Linked DNA regions of Mus musculus. The protein of the gene in region 3 interacts with the protein of the main gene of each other region in a pairwise test. Links are inferred from orthologs where the notes say so. Each region holds a gene or a part of one and is shown on either strand. Other genes may lie near its edges.

Region 1 (5,821 bases), on a different chromosome or scaffold from region 3:
TGTGCTCCTGGAATCTACAGCTTCCCTGTTTCCAGTTCAATCCTGGGATTAGAAACACCTCGAGGGTGTCTTTCTTTCAGGCCCTTCCTTTCCTTCTACCCTGTTCTTCACAAGCCTTTCTGATCCTTGTCCTACCCCACTCTACCTACCTCTTGTACCAGGTTAGGGAGAACAACTTCCCAGCTTTTTTACCAGGAAGAACCTATACAGACCTTCCAAATTCAGGCCCCTGCTTGTCAAAGCTTTTGAGTATTTCCTTGACTATGTTCCAGGAGTAAGGTCTTGTATTAGTCTGGTTCTGTAGAGGAACAGAACTTAATAGAACACACACACACACACACACACACACACACACAATAGAAAAGGGATTTATTAGAATGGCTTACAGTCTCTGGTCCAGCCAGTCCAACTATGCCTGTTTACCAATGGGAAGTCCAGTAGTTGTTCAGTCCATGAGTCTGGACATCTCAGATGGTCTGTAGTATACACTGGAATCCTGAAGAAATATGCTCTAATGCCAGTGAAGGAATGCACTTGACAGTGAGAATGAGAGTAATGAAGCAAAGAGAGCAAGCTTCCTTCTTCCATGGCTGCCAGCAGATGGTGTGACGGTATGACCCAGGTTAAAGGTGAATCTTCCCATCTCAAGGATCCAGATTAGAAATTGGTCTCCCTTTAAAACAGTTAATTAAACAAGCAAAAAACCCCTCATAGGCGTGCCCAGCAATTTGGTTTTTACTTAATTCTATATGTAGTCAATCCCATATGTAAGCAAAATGAAACGAAAATATCCAACATTAGCCTCAAAATGAGTGTCTAAAGAATGTCTAATTAGCCAGGCAGTGGTCACACCTTTAATCCCAGCACTTGGGAGGCAGAGGCAGGTGGATTTCTGAGTTCAAGGCCAGCCTGGTCTACAGAGTGAGTTCCAGGACATCCAGGGCTATACAGAGAAACCCTGTCTTGAAAAACCAAAATAAAATAAAATAAAATAAAATAAAATAAAATAAAATAAAATAAAAAGAATGTCTAATTACAGAACCTCAGGGTCTCTGGTGTGTCACTTAAAAACACTTTTTGAAACAAATGGATTTTCTAGATGTTTTCTAGCTCTTCCACATATGAAACCGTCCAGAGACCAACTTGACAAGAAATATAAATTAAAATAAATATAAATTAAACTTTAATTTCAACACTGGATGCCAGGATCCAGCATTTAGCCCAGTAACTTTCAGCCTCCAGACACCTGCAGGGCTCAGGCATTCTGTCCCTCCATGGTCATGTGAGCCAGTTCCTAAAGCAAATCTCTGAATCTGTTGTTTCCATTGCCCTGGAGAGCTGAAGTCCATCAAAGCCAAGGCTCAGCTGAAGCAGAAAGATGCAGAGAACCAAACTCGACCCTCAGCTTTGCTTTGTTCTCTTTGTAAGAAAGAAGAGGAAAGGGTTGAAGCTCAGTCCTGAGGCCCTGTGGAAGCCCTGAGCGGCTTACACGTCTGTGAGGGGACTGACTAGGTTGAACAACACTGCCGATGAAAGAGCGAAGGTCACACTACCACTGCTTCCTGTACAGCTCCCTGGGCTGTGCTCCTCAGCGTATGCTGATGGGTGGGGTCTGGCGCCCCTAGGTGCTTACCAACAGTCTCTCAGGCAGGAGTACTCATACAATGCCTTTGGCCAAGCAACTGGTGGCAGGTCATTCCTCCAAATTGAGAGCCTTAAACTGCTGCCATCTCAGAATCAAGCCTGAGGAGAAAGAGGAGCGAAAGCAAGAGTGGAAACATTGCTTCTCAAGCCTTTTTCTTTAGACATTTTTTTTTCCTCTCCAGTGCTTTCTCTAGTCTGAACCCACACAGTTCCAGCAAAATGACTGTCACCTTGCTGTTTCTCATCTGTACCCCTTTCCCACGCGGTCCCCTTCATTTTATGCTGGGCCACCATTTTTTCAAGACAGCAGTGTGCCCTGTCCCCACCCACTAGGATCCAAGTGTCAGCCCACCCCTACCACTCCACCACTTCACCCACACACCTGTCAGTCCTTTCGTTTATTTTTTAAGAAGTCAGTGTGTGTGTGTGTTTGTGTGTGTGTGTCAGTTATTTCTGGCCCTTGGTTGAACCTTGGAGCTAGCAAAAGTGGAAGAGCTCCCCATATCTAAGAGGCCCTCCCCTGGCAGTGCTTCCCTCATGCAGGACTGGAAGAGACTGGAAGAGGGCATGGGCAGGCCACACTTAGAAGCACTGTGAGAAGGTCACAGACTTGTGTGTTGGCCTTGTGCAGATTATCTTGGTCTCATTTGAGAAAACTGATAATATCATTCTTTCTTTCCCATATCCTTCACCACAGCATCTTGAGAACAAACTGTCCTAATGGGGAAAATGTGTCATGCTGTTATGAGGGAAAACCAGTGTGCAATGGTCATGGGGTCCTTTCCGGGAATAAAAGCTTTACTGCCTGCAGCTTCATTCTGTTTGCTTTGACTGGTCTTTAAAGAATGTATTACTTTATCCAAAACAAACAGCAAATGCTTTCTGTGAACAGATGAACCTGAGTGAACGCACACCTTTAATCCCAGCACTCGGGAGGCAGAGACAGGCAGATTTCTGAGTTGAAGGCCAGCCTGGTCTACAGAGTGAGTTCCAGGACAGCCCGGGCTACACAGAGAAACCCTGTCTCGAAAAACAAAACAAAACAAAACAAATTCCCTCCTGCCCAGCACTGTGAATGTTCACCAAGAAAAAGAAAAGTGATGGGAAAGAAAGAAAATTAAACCTGCAGGGGACGGGGAGATAAGATAGCCAGTCCAGCCACTCAGTGAGTACTGGATTCAGTGAGATGATACGCCAATAGATAATTTAGCCAGTCAGAGAGTGCAGACCACAGTCAGTGATGGAAAAAGACATCTGGTGTCCCTTTGCTCTCCAACATCGAGGAACCCAAGGCTCTGGGGAAGAGCCTGGGGTTGTTCTTATCCATTGATAGAGTCCTGACCCCGACTGGATAAAGCGAATGCTAGTCAGACAGCTAGGGTTCCTTCTGGACGATGGGTAGTGTATGAACTTCAGATCACCCATGGGGCCCACGTTCCATCTTCCTGCCACAACTCTAATTTCCCAGCTCACAAAACCCGGTCTGATGCCCCGTCCCAAAGACTGGTTCCCCTCCAGCTGCTCTCTGGTTCCCAGACACTCAATACAAGCCTGGCTGACAGCTCTAGGGAAATTGCTTTAGAAGCTTGTCTGCTCCCTTTCGCCCTTGGAAAGCAAGGAGAATGTCTAAGAGTCCACCTCTCCTGAGTCCTCAGTGGTGTGTTAGCCTTGTTCTGTGAGGGAGAAAACTCACTGATGTTCCACAGACAAGACTAAAAGTCCCTGGGGAACAGGAATTTCTCTACAGTCTATGAAAAAAGATCAGTTGTCTTTCCCTTCAGGTTGACACTAATTGTTACTGGTAGATTTAAGGGTGAGCAGGATAGAAGAACACCACACACACACACACACACACACACACACACACACACACACACCACAAGATCCCTGTTACCTGGTGAGTTCCTGAGGATCTTTCCATTCAAGATCTATAGCCACTGTGGAGCTACCTTCCAGGCCTAGGCAGCCTCTCACATTGGTTTGTAGTCTTTCGTAAAAGTACAAGAGCTACAAGAGGTGAAGGCCAGCTCACAAGATCTGTCTTCCAGGGGGAGGAAGACGGTGTCTCCTGAGGGGTGGGAAAGGGTGATGTACATGAGTTTCTCTGAAAAGGGGTGCTCTGAGGGCCACTGAAGAAGGCAGCCAGTGGAAAAGGTTGATTTAAAAAAAAAAAAAAAGTTCTGCTTCCTGCTCCACCCTCATCGGCCACACCACTGAGATGTTTGTGTACAAAGTATTCTCTATGGGCCTAAGAGAATCTAGAAGTCTAAAAGCATGGGCAACCCAAGACTCTAGCTTCTGCTCCTCCTCACCAGGCAGACAGCATGCATCTCTTCTGCTCTGCTGTTTACCTCTGCCATCCGGAGGTAGCTTCTTAGATGGAATTTGAGGTGGCAGTTGAGCCTAAAGTGGCTCTCTCCAGGGCCCACTGGACAGATCAATAGCTATCATGCTTGAGCCTGGCTAAGGTACCCTGGCTTCTAGGGAGAGTATGGGAGAACAAGGCTTAGGTTTTCTCACCTGGGCAGACCTTGTCTCCACAGAAGCCATGAAGCTAGCTACCCAGTCTATAGTATGGTTTAGGCAAAGCAACAGCACTTAGTGGAATCCCAAGTCCCTGTGCCTCTGCCTGCTGCCCTGCAGGACTCAGGATCCGGAGTGAGCCAGGTCTCCTCCCTGGAGGAGTTCCACTTAGCCGTGTGTTTGAGTTCAGATCACTTTTTTATTCACTTGCTGTTCTTTTCCGCGTATGAGTGTTTTGCCTACATGTATGCAAGTGCCCTCTGCACATGCCTGGTGCTTGCAGAAGCCAGGAGAGGCTGCTGGATCCCCTGGATCTGGAACTATTAACACTTGTAAGGCTCCTTAACTACTGAGCCATCCCTCCAATCCCAAGTTTGGGTGATTTTTTTTTTTTTTTAAACAAAAGAATGTTCAAGGAGGAGAGTGGGATATGGGATCTATTTGGGTGAAATGAATATAGATGTTGTTCCTATAACCTGCATGTTCATATCCTTAGCTTTTTGTTTTGTTTTGTTTGTTGGTTTTTTTCGAGACAGGGTTTCTCTGTGTAGCCCTGGCTGTCCCGGTCTGTAGACCAGGCTGGCCTTGAACTCAGAACTATCTGCCTGCCTCTGCCTCCCAAGTGCTGGGATTAAAGGTGTGAGCCACCACTGCCTGGCTGTTGTTTTGTTTTGTTGTTTTAATTGACATGTATGCTCTTGTGGGTTCCTGAATCCACCTCAGCTCCTGCAGTGTGATTTCTTCCTCACAGAACTCAGGGATTGTTTGGAACCTTTTCTCACTGCAGCTTTCTGGTCCACGCCTCCAAAGGGAAGGTGCATCCTGCTGTGAAGGGACGGTCAGCAGGAAAGGAAGCCAGACTGCAGCCAATGAGAACAAGAGCCTGAGGCTCAAAACTGTAGGAAGGGAGTGGGAACTGGCGTCGACGTCTTGCAAACACTGCCCCCTGCTGGTTACCTGCTGGTTTGCTGTGTTCTGTTTTGCCCAGTCTGGAAATATTGAACAGTGGTTTGGGGGAGTTGTTTGTTTATTTTTGATGTGCCTGAGCTCGCACGTGCACATGCTCCTGAGTGAACACAGGAAAGCCAGAAGACTGACTGAAGGTGTCTTCTATTACTGCGATACCCTATTGCCTTGAAATAGGATCTCTCAGTGAATTCTTGATTTCTACTAGGTTGACTGCCAGGAGCTCTAGGACCTGCCACTTTGCGCCCGATGCTGAGATTACAGGCACAAGCAGTCATGCCCAGATTTTTATTTGGATGCTGGGGATTCCAACTTAGGTTCTCATGCTTGCACATAAAAAGTTCTTACTCACTGAAGGCTAACCGTCGCCTCTCAGCCTCAACAAATGCTTTCCTTTTGACTTGCTACTCTAGAGAGCCCTCCTTTCTCATCACCTTGTTTAAAACCATGCTGCTGTACCCACACGAGAGTCCAAACACGAATGCCTATGGCAGATTTGTTCACAAAGCCCATCCAAATGCAGAGACAACTCAGATACACTTTAGTAGGTGGGTGTGACACACCCGGGCAATGGGAACTACAAAGAGATGCGTTAGCAGGACACATGGAGCCTCAGAGGGAACGTATATACATGCTGCTACGTGAAAGAAGCTGATCTGGCAGGGCTCTGTGCTGTATAGCCACAGCT
Region 2 (5,778 bases), on a different chromosome or scaffold from region 3:
TTGCTAAACACATGAAACTCAAGAAGAACGAAGACCAAAGTATGGACACTTTGCCCCTCCTTAGAATTGGGAACAAAACACCCATGGAAGGAGTTACAGAGACAAAGTTTGGAGCTGTGTCAAAAGGATGGACCATCTAGAGCCTGCCATATCCAGGGTTCCATCCCATAATCAGCTTCCAAACGCTGACACCATGGCATATACTAGCAAGATTTTGCTGAAAGGACCCAGATATAGCTGTCTCTTGTGAGACTATGCCGGGGCCTAGCAAACACAGAAGTGGATGCTCACAGTCAGCTATTGGATGGATCACAGGGCCCCCAATGGAGGAGCTAGAGAAAGTACCCAAGGAGCTAAAGGGATCTGCAACCCTATAGGTAGAACAACATTATGAACTAACCAGCACCCCGGAGCTCTTGACTCTAGCTGCATATGTATCAAAAGATGGCCTAGTCGGCCATCACTGGAAAAAGAGGCCCATTGGACTTGCAAACTTTATATGCCCCAGTACAGGGGAACGCCAGGCCCAAAAAGGGGGAGTGGGTGGGTAGGGGATTGGGAGAGAGGGTATGGGGGACTTTTGGGATAGCATTGGTAATGTAAATGAGGAAAATACCTAATAAAAAGTATTTAAAATATAGACACACACAGACACACACAAAAAAAGAAACCAGTCTGGTGGTTCTTCAGAAAATTGAACATAGTATTACCTGAGGACCCAGCTATACCACTTCCGGGCATATACCCAAAAGATGCTCCAACATATAACAAGGACACATGCTCTGTTAAGTTCATAGCAGCCTTATTTATAATAGCCAGAAGGTGGAAAGAACCTAGATGTCCTCCAACAGAGGAATAGATACAGAAAATATGGTACATTTACACAATGGAGTACTACTCGGCTATTAAAAACAATGACTTCATGTAATTCTTAAGCAAATGGATGGAACTAGAAAATATCACCCTGAGTGAGGTAACCCAATCACAAAAGGACACACATGGTATGCATTCATTGATAAGTGAATATTAGCCCCAAAAGCTCAGAATACCAAGATACAATTTAAAGACCACACAAAGCTCAAGAAGAAGGAATACCAAAGTGTGGGTGTAGAAGGGGGAACAAAACTCTCATGGGAGCAAATATGGAGACAAAGTGTGGAGCAGAGACTGAAGGAAAGGCCATCCAGAGACTGCCCCACCTGGGGATTCATCCCATATATAGTCTCCAAACACAGATACTATTGTAGATTCCAAGAAGTTCATGCTGACAGGAGCCTGATATAGCTGTCTCCTGAGAGGCTCTGCCAGAACCTGACAAGTACAGAGGCAGATGCTTGCAGCCAACCATTGGGCTGAGCATGGGGTCCCCATAGGGTCTCCAAGGGAGGAGTTAGAGAAAGGACTGAAGGATTTGAAGGGGTTTGCAACCCCATAAGAAGAACAACAATATCAACCAACCAGACACCCCAGAGCTCCCTGGGACTAAACCACCAACCAAGGAGTACACATGGAGGGACCCATGGCTCCAGCCACATATGTAGCAGAGGATGGCCTTGTCAGGCATCAAAAGGGAGGAGAGGCAATTGGTACTGTGAAGGCTTGATGCCCCAGTGTAGGGGAATGCCAGGGTGGGAAGGTGGGAGTGGGTGGGTGGGTGGGTGGGGGAGCATCCTCATAGAAGCAGGGAGAGGGAAATGGGATAAGGAGGGCTTCTGTGGGGGCTGGAAATCGGGAAAGGGGAGAACATTTTAAATGTAAATAAAGAAAATATACAATAAGATGTATTTAATATTCAAGGTTAAAAAAAAGATCCAAAAGTCATGCACTGATTTTTTTCTCATAAATTCAAACTGTATGTTTTAATTATCCTGACATGTTAATTGGAAAGAATGCATGTATGGAGTCATTACTATAAAGTGCTTTAAATATTGAAATTATTGTACTTCAAATATCCTGCATTGGGGCAGTCTTAAAAGAATGACAGGATACAGTTAAAAACAAGACCAGCAGCAGCTGTGAAGGGAAGGAAAGTGCCTCAGAGAGCAAACCTCACCCCTTAGAAGATAAGCCATGCCCTTGAAGTGCTGTTGGATGCCAGGGCACCAGGCTTGAAGCCACATTTTTGGAAGTGCTTTCTTCATCACCTGCTTATACTTTATTATTCCAAACACCATTTTCTGTGGGGGTGGAGGGGACCAGGAAAAAAATAGGTGCATGTGGTCACATGGTAGGATCATTGTTACAAACTCAGCTTCTATTTTGGGCATGGTAACAGAGACACAGTTTATTTCTGAATCTGACTTAATAGCTATTTCACCCTCAGGAATGTCACTACTGTTGAGAGAGAGAGAGAGAGAGAGAGAGAGAGAGAGAGAGAGAGAGAGAGAGAGAGAGAGAGCAGAAGAAGAAGAAGGAGGAGGAGGAGGAGGAGGAGGAGGAGGAGGAGGAGGAGAAGAAGAGGAGGAGGAGGAGGAGGAGGAGGAGGAGGAGGAGGAGAGGAAGACTAGCTACAAAAGTCACTGCTAAAAGGTCCTACTTTTAAAGTAATAGTCCAGTTACTAAACTTTGCTTGCCACAGACTAAGAAGGCGATGCCAAGATAGCTAAGCTACGGAGACATGGCACTAAGCCTGGTAGCCAGAACTCAATCTCCTTCACCTTTGTTCGATGGGAACCAACTCCTGCAACTTGTCCTCTGACCTCCAAGTAAGTGTTGTGGCATAAACATGCCCCGCCCACACACATAATTTAGAATAAAATCTGTCATAAAATTTGTTCAAGATTTTTTTTCTAAATCTAAAATAGACCAAGTAAATAATGGAGTCCTCTAGAAGGAGACATCTTTACAGCGAGCTCACAATGTTGGTAGATGTTTTTTCAATAAGCCTTTTCAGTGTTGCGACATGTTAAAATGAAAGACAAGCTAGTAGAGGAAAAAAAGGCAGTGTGATTCATGGGCTCCAAGGGCCTGCAGGTGGCTTCTGAGGGACTCTGCCAGTAAACGGATACAAGGACACACCTTGAAAACCAGAACCCACAGCTGTCAACACCAGCCCTTGCTATCTTTGGAAGCTGAAATGAGGGCATTCAGAAACAACCACCGAGGCCGCTGCAGAGTGTCACTACCTATTCCGTGTCGCACTAACTTGGCCTTCCTGCCGAGCTCCACTGGGCAGATTCTTTTCTGATCCTGGAACTCAGACACGTAAGTAGTTTCATTTTCCCGTGTTCTTGATCACTGCTAACAGCTGAGCCTTTCATCATCTAATAATTGCTTGATTCTCTACCAGTAGGACACTTCAACAAATAAAAATTGTCTCTGAAAAAAAAAAACTCATTGTACATTCTCCCTGCAGGTATTGGTATCAAAGCAGAAAACCATATTGTATGCTACGAACTCAGAATTGTTTACCAATGAAGGCTGAACTCAAAGCTTAATACGATGCTTCCTTGAGTGAGCCACGGCCACGTATGAACGGCATTCCTGAGTTCATGCCTCCAAGTCAGGAGGTAATTTTAAAAATCAAGTCTACATCTTTTCTATGAGCAGTCGAAAAGCACAGAATACATGCAATCAAAACCCCAAGGACTCAAAAATCATCATTCGGTCTCAGTAAGAAATAGCATGCAAATTACTTACAAAGACGTGAGCCTCCAATGCTCGGTTTCCTAGAAAAGACAACTACTCAGGAACAACTACAGCCAAACTTTCTACCAGTTCTGTAGTTCGCTCTTAATCTTCCTGCTGCTCACAAGTGCTCCCCTGAGGCCCGTAAACCCAGCACATAATTGGTGGTCTATATTTAGTGTAAATGTAGCCAAGCGATAACAAGATTCCCTGCAGTGGCTTCCGCTCTCATGTCCGAGTTTAAGATACGAATTGGTGAAGCTTTGCTTTAAAACAACAGACCGGCAAGCCTGGATTCAGTTGGTAACTGATGTGGTTCATATGAAGCTCAAGTTGAAAGTCCTTACTCAGTGGAAGTGGCTGTATCGTCTGACAGCACATTTCCTAGCTAGCGCTTCTGCTGTGCTGTGCTCCTGTGTATAAATACCCTGCAGCAGGCAGGAGCTGCCACTGGGACATCTGGTGTGCAGAGACCTCAGTAAACAGGGAGGATAGCTGTGATAACACAACTAGCGGAGTGGCTGATGTGTTAGATTTCCATCCCTGTATCCAAAATAAGTCAGCTTTATACTAGCCCCCCCCCCCGCCCCCCGTTTCAGACCTCTGATCTAGGCTTGCAGAAATAGAAAACATGGTAACAGGTACAGCTGAAAGAAGAGGCTTGAGAGGAAAGGGCCAAAGACTTGTCTTCAACCAAGCCTCACACCTAAAGATCCACCATTCTCCAGCGGTTCCAGGCTGGTGACCATGCAAGCCTTCTACACTTTTCTTTAAGGAGACTTCAGAGATCTAAACTATAGCAGCAGGTCCGGGGACTCCTGGGCTTTCAATTAGCTTTACAAAAAGTGTCTGTGGGTGCAAAGATTGCACACTTCAGCATTCCATCCAAAATGGGCTTCAGAAGCGCACCTGCCTTTTGGAAATAGCAGCCTTGTTTCCTTTCCACAAGTGGCAGGCAGTTTCTGCCCTCTGGTGTACACAATAGGTACTACAGTGAGAGCTGGGGCCTGCAAGCTCCGGGTGCCAGATCACACACAGTTTGGATGAAAACAGACTTGCAGTTGTTTAAGATCTGCCTTCGCTCACAAGTGCCCGCTCATTCTATAGCTCTGTGTGTTCCAGCTTCTCTTACACGGTTCTTTAGGGACATTATTATACTGTCAGAGAACAGGAATCTCACATTTTTTGGTCTTCCCATAGCTTGAGAACCAAGAAGACCATGCACTTGATACCTTTATCATTAAGTGCTGTCACCTGTATTAAAACTAAGCTCAGAAAAAATGAAGATGTTCCCATCATCTAGTCATGCAGGTCAAAAACCAAAACTCTTCTAACTACCCAATCTGTCCCAAATCCCCTATCATCTCAGAAGTACTTGCTTCAGTTTTGATGGCTGTTTTCCCCTTCTTCTAACATTATAACCTCAAGTACTAGTCCTCCAGAGATGGGAAACAGCCTCCACTGCCAGGGAGGGTAAAGTGGCAGCGATGAGACAACCCCATGCATGTGTCCATCCATCAAACCTGTCTGAAGGCACCTGGCTTTACTTTGACTCGTAGACAACGACTTGACCAGAATATGACGGCTCTCTTAATACTGAAATGCTGCTTTTTGAATCAGTAGAAAACATGTCTAGGGCCTTACATTTCTTTCAAATGCCCCTCATGGTATCCAGTCAATTCCCAGCCATCATAGAGTTGAGTCTATTGTTTTGAAATTAATTCTTGTGCTACAGTAATTTGGCTGAGAATCAGTGGTTGGCTGGCTGGCACTACTTTCAACTCAATTCTTAAACATCAGGTTCTTAGCAATCGTTGCCAGCAGAAGTTACTCAATGAATTCTTAAGATTTCCATCTTTGTAATCTCAAGCATGGGTTAAGTGCTTATTTCTCATTCCTCAAACCCTAACTAAACAAAAAAAAAAAAAAAAAAAAAAAAAAAAGCATAGGAATATGCCACAAGATGGAAATAGGAATAAATACCAGAGTTCAAACAATGTGACTGTGGTGGGAAACTAAGATGCCTGGACTTGCGGGTATATGAACCAACTAATGCTGCTGAAGTAGGCTCCGAGCTGGGCTGGGACGGAAGAGTTAAGTATGGACTCAACCAAGGTAAGTCATTGTATGTGAGCCAGACAAGGTAGACCG
Region 3 (5,987 bases):
GAGAACAGAGACCTGCTAAAAGCCTCTTTCCCCCTCCCCACAGTCTCACATACAGATGGCATCTCAGCTGGGTGCCCGAGCCTCACTGGAGTTGAGCCTTCTTAGCTGGCTGAGGCTAGCCAGACGCAATTTGAGCAGAGTCTCCTCTTGTGTGCGCAGTGTGTGAGCCAACACCCTCAGGGATTCGCTCTGCAGCACTGGGAATGAGAAGACATTTGTGGGACCTTGTCATGATTGCATGCCTCCCCAGATCCCCAAACAGCCCTTCGTCAGGGTTTGCCCACTGGCCCGTGCCCCACCCTTTATTGCTTCATTTCCAGTTGCCCTGGGTTCCTGGTCCTGCCTGTTCCTACCACTTAGATAGACAGCCACGGTGGCCAGCGCCAGGCAGGTGAACACCAGCAGTACCAGCAGCAGAAGGAAGCCCCCACGGCCACACACAGGGCTGCAACCAGCTTGGGTGCACAGCGATGGTGGTAAGACACCCAGAAGCTCCTCCCATGCCTGTGCCTCCTCCACCAGACAGGGTCGTAGTGAGCCTGCAAGGAGAACCGGTCCATCGGGAAGGTGGTACCCACAGCATCCATCTCACTCCCTGTCTGAGCTCCCTTACCTCCGCTGTGTAGGTCACTGATGGACTCCACTCGGTGCAGACGCACCTCCTGCACGTGGTTAGGAGCCAGTGCTCCCCTGTTCCTCTGGTTCTGCATTGGCAACACGGTGTCTACAGGGGCGGTGGGACAATTGGAGCAATCAGTTCCTTTGTAGGTTGCGGAGACTTGGGACATATGGGAACTGCACCTGTGACATTTGGTTCCAAATTCCCTACAATTTCAGGGGTGACCCTAAGTTTGGGTCCAGGGCTCCAAAGGGTCCAGGGACTCCATGCTCCCATGTCACATTTGAGCATTTCCCAGGTCTGCCTGCTTATTCCTCCTGGCCTCTGGTCTGCCTTCACAGTGATTCGGCCTCTCTTATGGGAGGGAGTCCTGCTGTTTGCACTCAACGGCGCCGCAGGAGTCCACTTTTATTCTTAACAGTTTCAATCTAACTTTGAGGGCTCCTCCCTCTGGCCTCCCTCTGAGGCTATCTGGGCATTTAGGTAGTTTCCAATTCTCAGTGGAAATTAACCCCCAGGACATCCATCATTAAACATGAAGGTTTTCCCCACTTTCCTGAAAGTTACTGAGGACAATTCTCAGAAGTGGAAATCATGGGGCCCAAAGAACTGAGAGTTCTCTTTGAAGCTATCATCAAAACTATCTTCTAAAAGGCCTGTCCAGAGCCCAGCAGTACAACATGGCCACCATTAGCCATCCCACTGTGGGGAAAATGTGTGTGTGTGTGTGTGTGTGGTGCAGAAGCCAAAGGTCTTGCTGACCTGGCACTGGAACCCAATAAATAACCTAGACTCACTAACTACGGAGCCCCAGGAACTCTCTCTACCTCACCAGACCTGCCTGGGATCAGAAGTGTGTACCCCGAGATCTGTAGTCCCCCTCCCAGACATAAAGACTGGCAGACAGTATCTGCTTTTGGACTTGCTTCTGAGCATGTCGTGGGACAGTCTTCACACACATCCTGGCCCCGGAGAAATAAAACTCAGGTCTTTCAAGCATGCTAGACAAGTTCTTCACAGAACTATCCCCAGACTCTGTATGCCCACACCTTTACATATATTTGCTAACTTGAGAGATGAGAAACAGCTTGTCTTGATTGCTGCCTAGGGAGCCTGACCAACGTGTGTGTAATTACCGTTTACAGGTTCTGCCTATTTAGCCGCTGACTGTGGTTCCCTTATGGTTATATTTATTTCAGGTTTTGTTTTGTTTTGTCTTGTTTTGTTTTGTTTTGAGATAGTGACTCACTGTGCTGGCCTGGAACTCATTGCGTAGCCTAAGCTAGGATGGGCTTAAACTCGAAATTCTTTTGCCTCGGCCTACCTATTACTGGCATTAAGTGTGTGCATCTCGCTGGGCAGTGGTGGCTCACGCCTTTGATCCCAGCACTTGGGAGGCAGAGGCAGACCGATTTCTGAGTTCGAGGCCAGCCTGGTCTACAAAGTGAGTTCCAGGACAGCCAGGGCTATGCAGAGAAACCCTGTCTCGAAAAAAAAAAAAAAAGGTGTGTGCATCTCTACCCAGCTTTGCTATTTGGTTTGTTTGTTTGTTTGGGTGTTTTTGTTTTTTAACAAGGGTAGCAACCAGTAAGCTCCATTGTCCTTCCTATCCTCATGTCCCAGTGCACACAGCACTGGGGTTATAAGGCACACAAGACCACACCTGGCTTGTTCCGTGGTCACTGGGGTCTGAATTCAGATCTTCTGGTTATACAGCAAGTGCTTTCAATCACTGAGCCATCTTGTCCCTCCTCCCACCTCCCCTGTTTAAGACAGTCTCAGAAAGTTCCCAGACTGGTTTTGAGTACCTGGTTAATTCAAGTGATCCTTCTGCCTCAGCATTTCAACTATTATCAAAATATTTGTGATTTCTAAATAACTATAATTACACTTTCTGCTGATGTTGACTGGGTATTTAGTTTTGAAACAGGGATTCCCTATGTGGACCTGGCTGCCTAGAATTCAGAATATAGACCAGACTGGCCTTGAACTCACAGAGATCCTCCTGTCTCTGCCTCTTGAGTGTGCACTGTCAAGGTCTTTTATTGGATGTTGTTGTTTGGTTTGGTTTTGCCCCAACTCCAGATGCCTGCCAGGAACGCAGGTTACAGTGTAGCCCAGCACTGGGGATGGATGGCTTTGGGTCCTCCCATCTCCGGACAGTAACTCAGCCTTTATGACGTGCTTGAAGCTGCCCCATGCCATGCTCACAAGCAATTCAAACAAAACCAGAAGCTGTCAGTCCTTGAGCCTGGGCGGCGGACCGCAAGTCACATTACATCCCCTCTGCTCCTCACTGTGCGTCTCCCATACTTTATATGTGAACATGTTTCATTTGCTATAGAAAAAGACACATGGTAGATGTTATAGTTAGGTCTCCCCCTCTCACCCCAAAAAGGTTAACATCCCTTAGCAGAGGGCAGGCCCTTTCTCGGCAGTGTAAAATATTTAGGAGGGACAGGATGGCTCAGCAGGTAAAGGCACTTGACCGGCTAAGTGCCAGTCTTGAGCAGGCTAAGACACTCGGGGCAGGCCTGCCTACTTCATCGCCTCCTGGGCCAGATATCCAAATGCTCCCCAGAACCGGTCTTCACCCCAATCCTGGCTCCTTCGCTGAAGGAAGATCTGAACTGCTTGGGAGCTCCCCCAGATGCCCACACCCACTTGGGCACAGCCTATAGCTGACCCACTCCTAAGTGGAGAGCTTTGAATCCCTCCCTGAGGCAGGACCTTAGGTGGGGAGGAGTTCTAAGTATAACGGATACATTCTTTCTCCATGCATAGGGGTAGGTCCCTAGGAGTGCGGTACAAAAAGACCGAGAGGTCTCCCCATGAAGCCAGGTCTCTCTGTGAGCAGAACTAGAGCCTTGTCCTCCCCAGTGGCCACCCTCTCCTACCTTCTAGGGTCTCCTCAGGCATGGCAGTTGGTAGGTAGTCAGGGCCCAATGAGAGTGCCCAGTAGCAAAACTTGACAAAGAGAGCAATGGCTCCTTTCAGATTCCGGGAGAGGCCTGGCTGCCTCCCAACCTGCCCTTAAAATAGGCCTGAGCTCACTTTTCCTGGACTATATTTAGAGGGGGCAGCTCCGATCCATGAAAGGGGCAGAGTGACCTAGATGGGCTGCCCTAGACTACCTACTTGGTGAAGGGGCTCAGCCAAGAGCTGCTAGCACATGGGCACAAGGAACTTCTCAGAAAACCATACCAACTCTATACCCACCTAGACTTTGGGGGCTTTCATCCTGAAGATCAGCATGTAGCATGCACCGTGTCGCATGCACCATGTTGCATGGTAGAAAAGGATGCCTGCACAGTCCACTCAGCCATCCCTCACTCCCACATACCAGCCATCTCCTTCCAGCAAACGGGAGATAACCACCCACCACTGTGTGACCATCTAATACCAGATAGTGGGGGTAGGGTGGGACACAACTGGAGCCCAATGAATGCCATAGGGATCTGGTAGCCCTACAAGTGGGCACCCATGCTGGCCAGTGGACAGAACTGGGATTAGAAACTGCTATGTCTAGTATTAAACTATAACCTTAGGTTAAAAGAACTTCAGGAGTGGCTTCCACTTTTCCATCTGTAAAACAGGAACAAAGGTTCCTGGCCAACTGTACTGAGAATAAAAATGAAGAAGCATGGCTAAAGCACTTAAGAGGTTTTGGGTCCTCCCTCTCCTCTTCACAAGGGCTTGACAGGCCACGGAGAGAGAGGCACGTGGCTCTCTTGAAGGGTGCTGGTCCAGCTTGCAGGCCTTAGTCTGGGTGGACTCTGTTCTGTTTCTCAACGGTGAAAAGCAGGGCTGGTGGGATCTACCTTCCAAACCATCAGGAGTCCATAGTGCCATAACACCATATCAGCCTCCTGGTTGTTCCGCAGACTTGGAGGGTCTGTCCCCTGCTCCACGACGTTGTTGCCCTGGTTCTTCTATCCCGGAATGTTCTGTCACCAGACATTGGTGATTGGCTCCTTCTTATTCAGCTCAAACACCACCCGTTCAGTGAATTAATACATCCTTGCCCACAACAGCCAGTATTGGTTTTACTTCAGAGAGCTTGGTCCTGCCACTAATGCACTGTGTATTGCCAGTACCCCAGAGGCTCACTGGAACCAGCGTAGTCGTCTACTAACACGTTTAATCTTCACTTTAGCATTCTTGGATGAGGAAAATGCAGGTCTTGAGACCCCTAGGGCGATACCCAAGAGCCCCCAGCAAGGTCTAGGACTACCTGTTGTCTGCTGGGGCCATTCCAATGTCAGCTGATAATGTGTTTATTGCGTTACTTTAGTACAGTTGGCCTGCCTCACCCCATACCCAACGGTCTAATCTGTTCACAGCTTGCTGCTTGCTGCCCAAGAAAGAGAATTCTTTCCCCAGGGCTGCCACCCAAGACAACTCTCTGGTCCTGGTCCACTCTGGAACCCCACGTCTCTGTCCCCTCCCTCCTGGTTAGATCCTGAATTGAGCTTAGGCCACTCTTTGAGGCTACATCCACGGGTTATCTTGTTAATAAATAAGCTACCCTTTGGCCAGGGCCTATGTAAGGGTTAGGTGTCTCTGTTGGCCCAAGGACCTCAGTGTGGCCCAGCCATAACTCATTTGTCTTCCTGGCATCTGTCTGCCCCTCTTTGGAGTGTCATATTCAGCCTCGTCCCATTGTGGGGACAGCCGAGTCACCAGTGAGCTGCACTACGTGGTCCACGCTCAGCACGGAGCTCAGAGACATGCATCCGTCTGTTGCGACCCTTACGACGTGAATCTGCTGCCACAGAGTGGTGCCCGGGCTGCGGGCGGCACATTCGCAGGGAGTTTGCACCTCCGCCACCGCCTGGCTCCACCAACTGCAGAAAGTCCCGGTACCAGAGTTTAGGGCCAGGAGGTGCAGGAGCGGCTGCTTCCTCTGCCCGTGCCAGTCGTTCAGCCTGCGCCGCACTCAACACATGCAGCACCAGGCGACGCAGTGGTTGTGAAAAGCCTTGTTCAACCGCGACGCAAAGATACACGCCAGAGTCCTGGCGCCGCAGCCCCCGCAACAGCAGCCCCCGCGCAGTGCGCTCTACTCTCTCCTCAGCCAGCACCTGTGTGTGAGGGAAGGGACAGAAACAAGGATCATTGGAAGCCAAAGGTGGACAAGGAAAATGGGTGCTGGCATTGACTCACTTTAAAGGGTATGTGAACTTAGCCTTCGGAGGATGAGTCCATCTAGGTGAGTGGGGGATTGGGTAGACTAGAAACCTCAGTGCGCGCGTGGGGGGTTGAGGGCTTTCTCTCTCCAGATGGTAGAGGGTGGGTCAGGAGTCTAGGTGGGCACAGTTGGGGCATCACTAGGTTGTGGAGCTAAGGACAGTAGAGGATGAGACAA

What was found.
Region 1: the proteins of Lsmem2 (region 3) and Gimap3 interact in binary tests that used the Homo sapiens proteins (3 or more experiments, as listed by UniProt). The two-hybrid records come from large-scale screens. The link is inferred for Mus musculus from reciprocal best matches to the Homo sapiens genes LSMEM2 and GIMAP5.
Region 2: the proteins of Lsmem2 (region 3) and Lsmem1 interact in binary tests that used the Homo sapiens proteins (3 or more experiments, as listed by UniProt). The two-hybrid records come from large-scale screens. The link is inferred for Mus musculus from reciprocal best matches to the Homo sapiens genes LSMEM2 and LSMEM1.

Annotation. Positions count from the first base shown.
Region 1 is NC_000072.6:48,767,104-48,772,924, forward strand, and holds the start of Gimap3 (GTPase IMAP family member 3), read right to left. Parts: upstream 3,749-5,821; 5' UTR 3,539-3,748; intron 1,744-3,538; 5' UTR 1,634-1,743; intron 674-1,633; 5' UTR 387-673; intron 1-386. UniProt on the Homo sapiens protein: Plays a role in T lymphocyte development and the optimal generation of CD4/CD8 double-positive thymocytes. Inhibitor of GSK3A, possibly by sequestering GSK3A in cytoplasmic vesicles and impairing its translocation to the nucleus.
Region 2 is NC_000078.6:40,195,568-40,201,345, forward strand, and holds the start of Lsmem1 (leucine-rich single-pass membrane protein 1), read right to left. Parts: upstream 3,749-5,778; 5' UTR 3,640-3,748; intron 1-3,639.
Region 3 is NC_000075.6:107,593,473-107,599,459, forward strand, and holds the start of Lsmem2 (leucine-rich single-pass membrane protein 2), read right to left. Parts: upstream 3,604-5,987; 5' UTR 3,539-3,603; coding exon 3,517-3,538; intron 725-3,516; coding exon 614-724; intron 540-613; coding exon 354-539; intron 198-353; coding exon 64-197; 3' UTR 1-63. Other genes in the region: Sema3b (semaphorin-3B precursor), read right to left, coding at 5,299-5,703.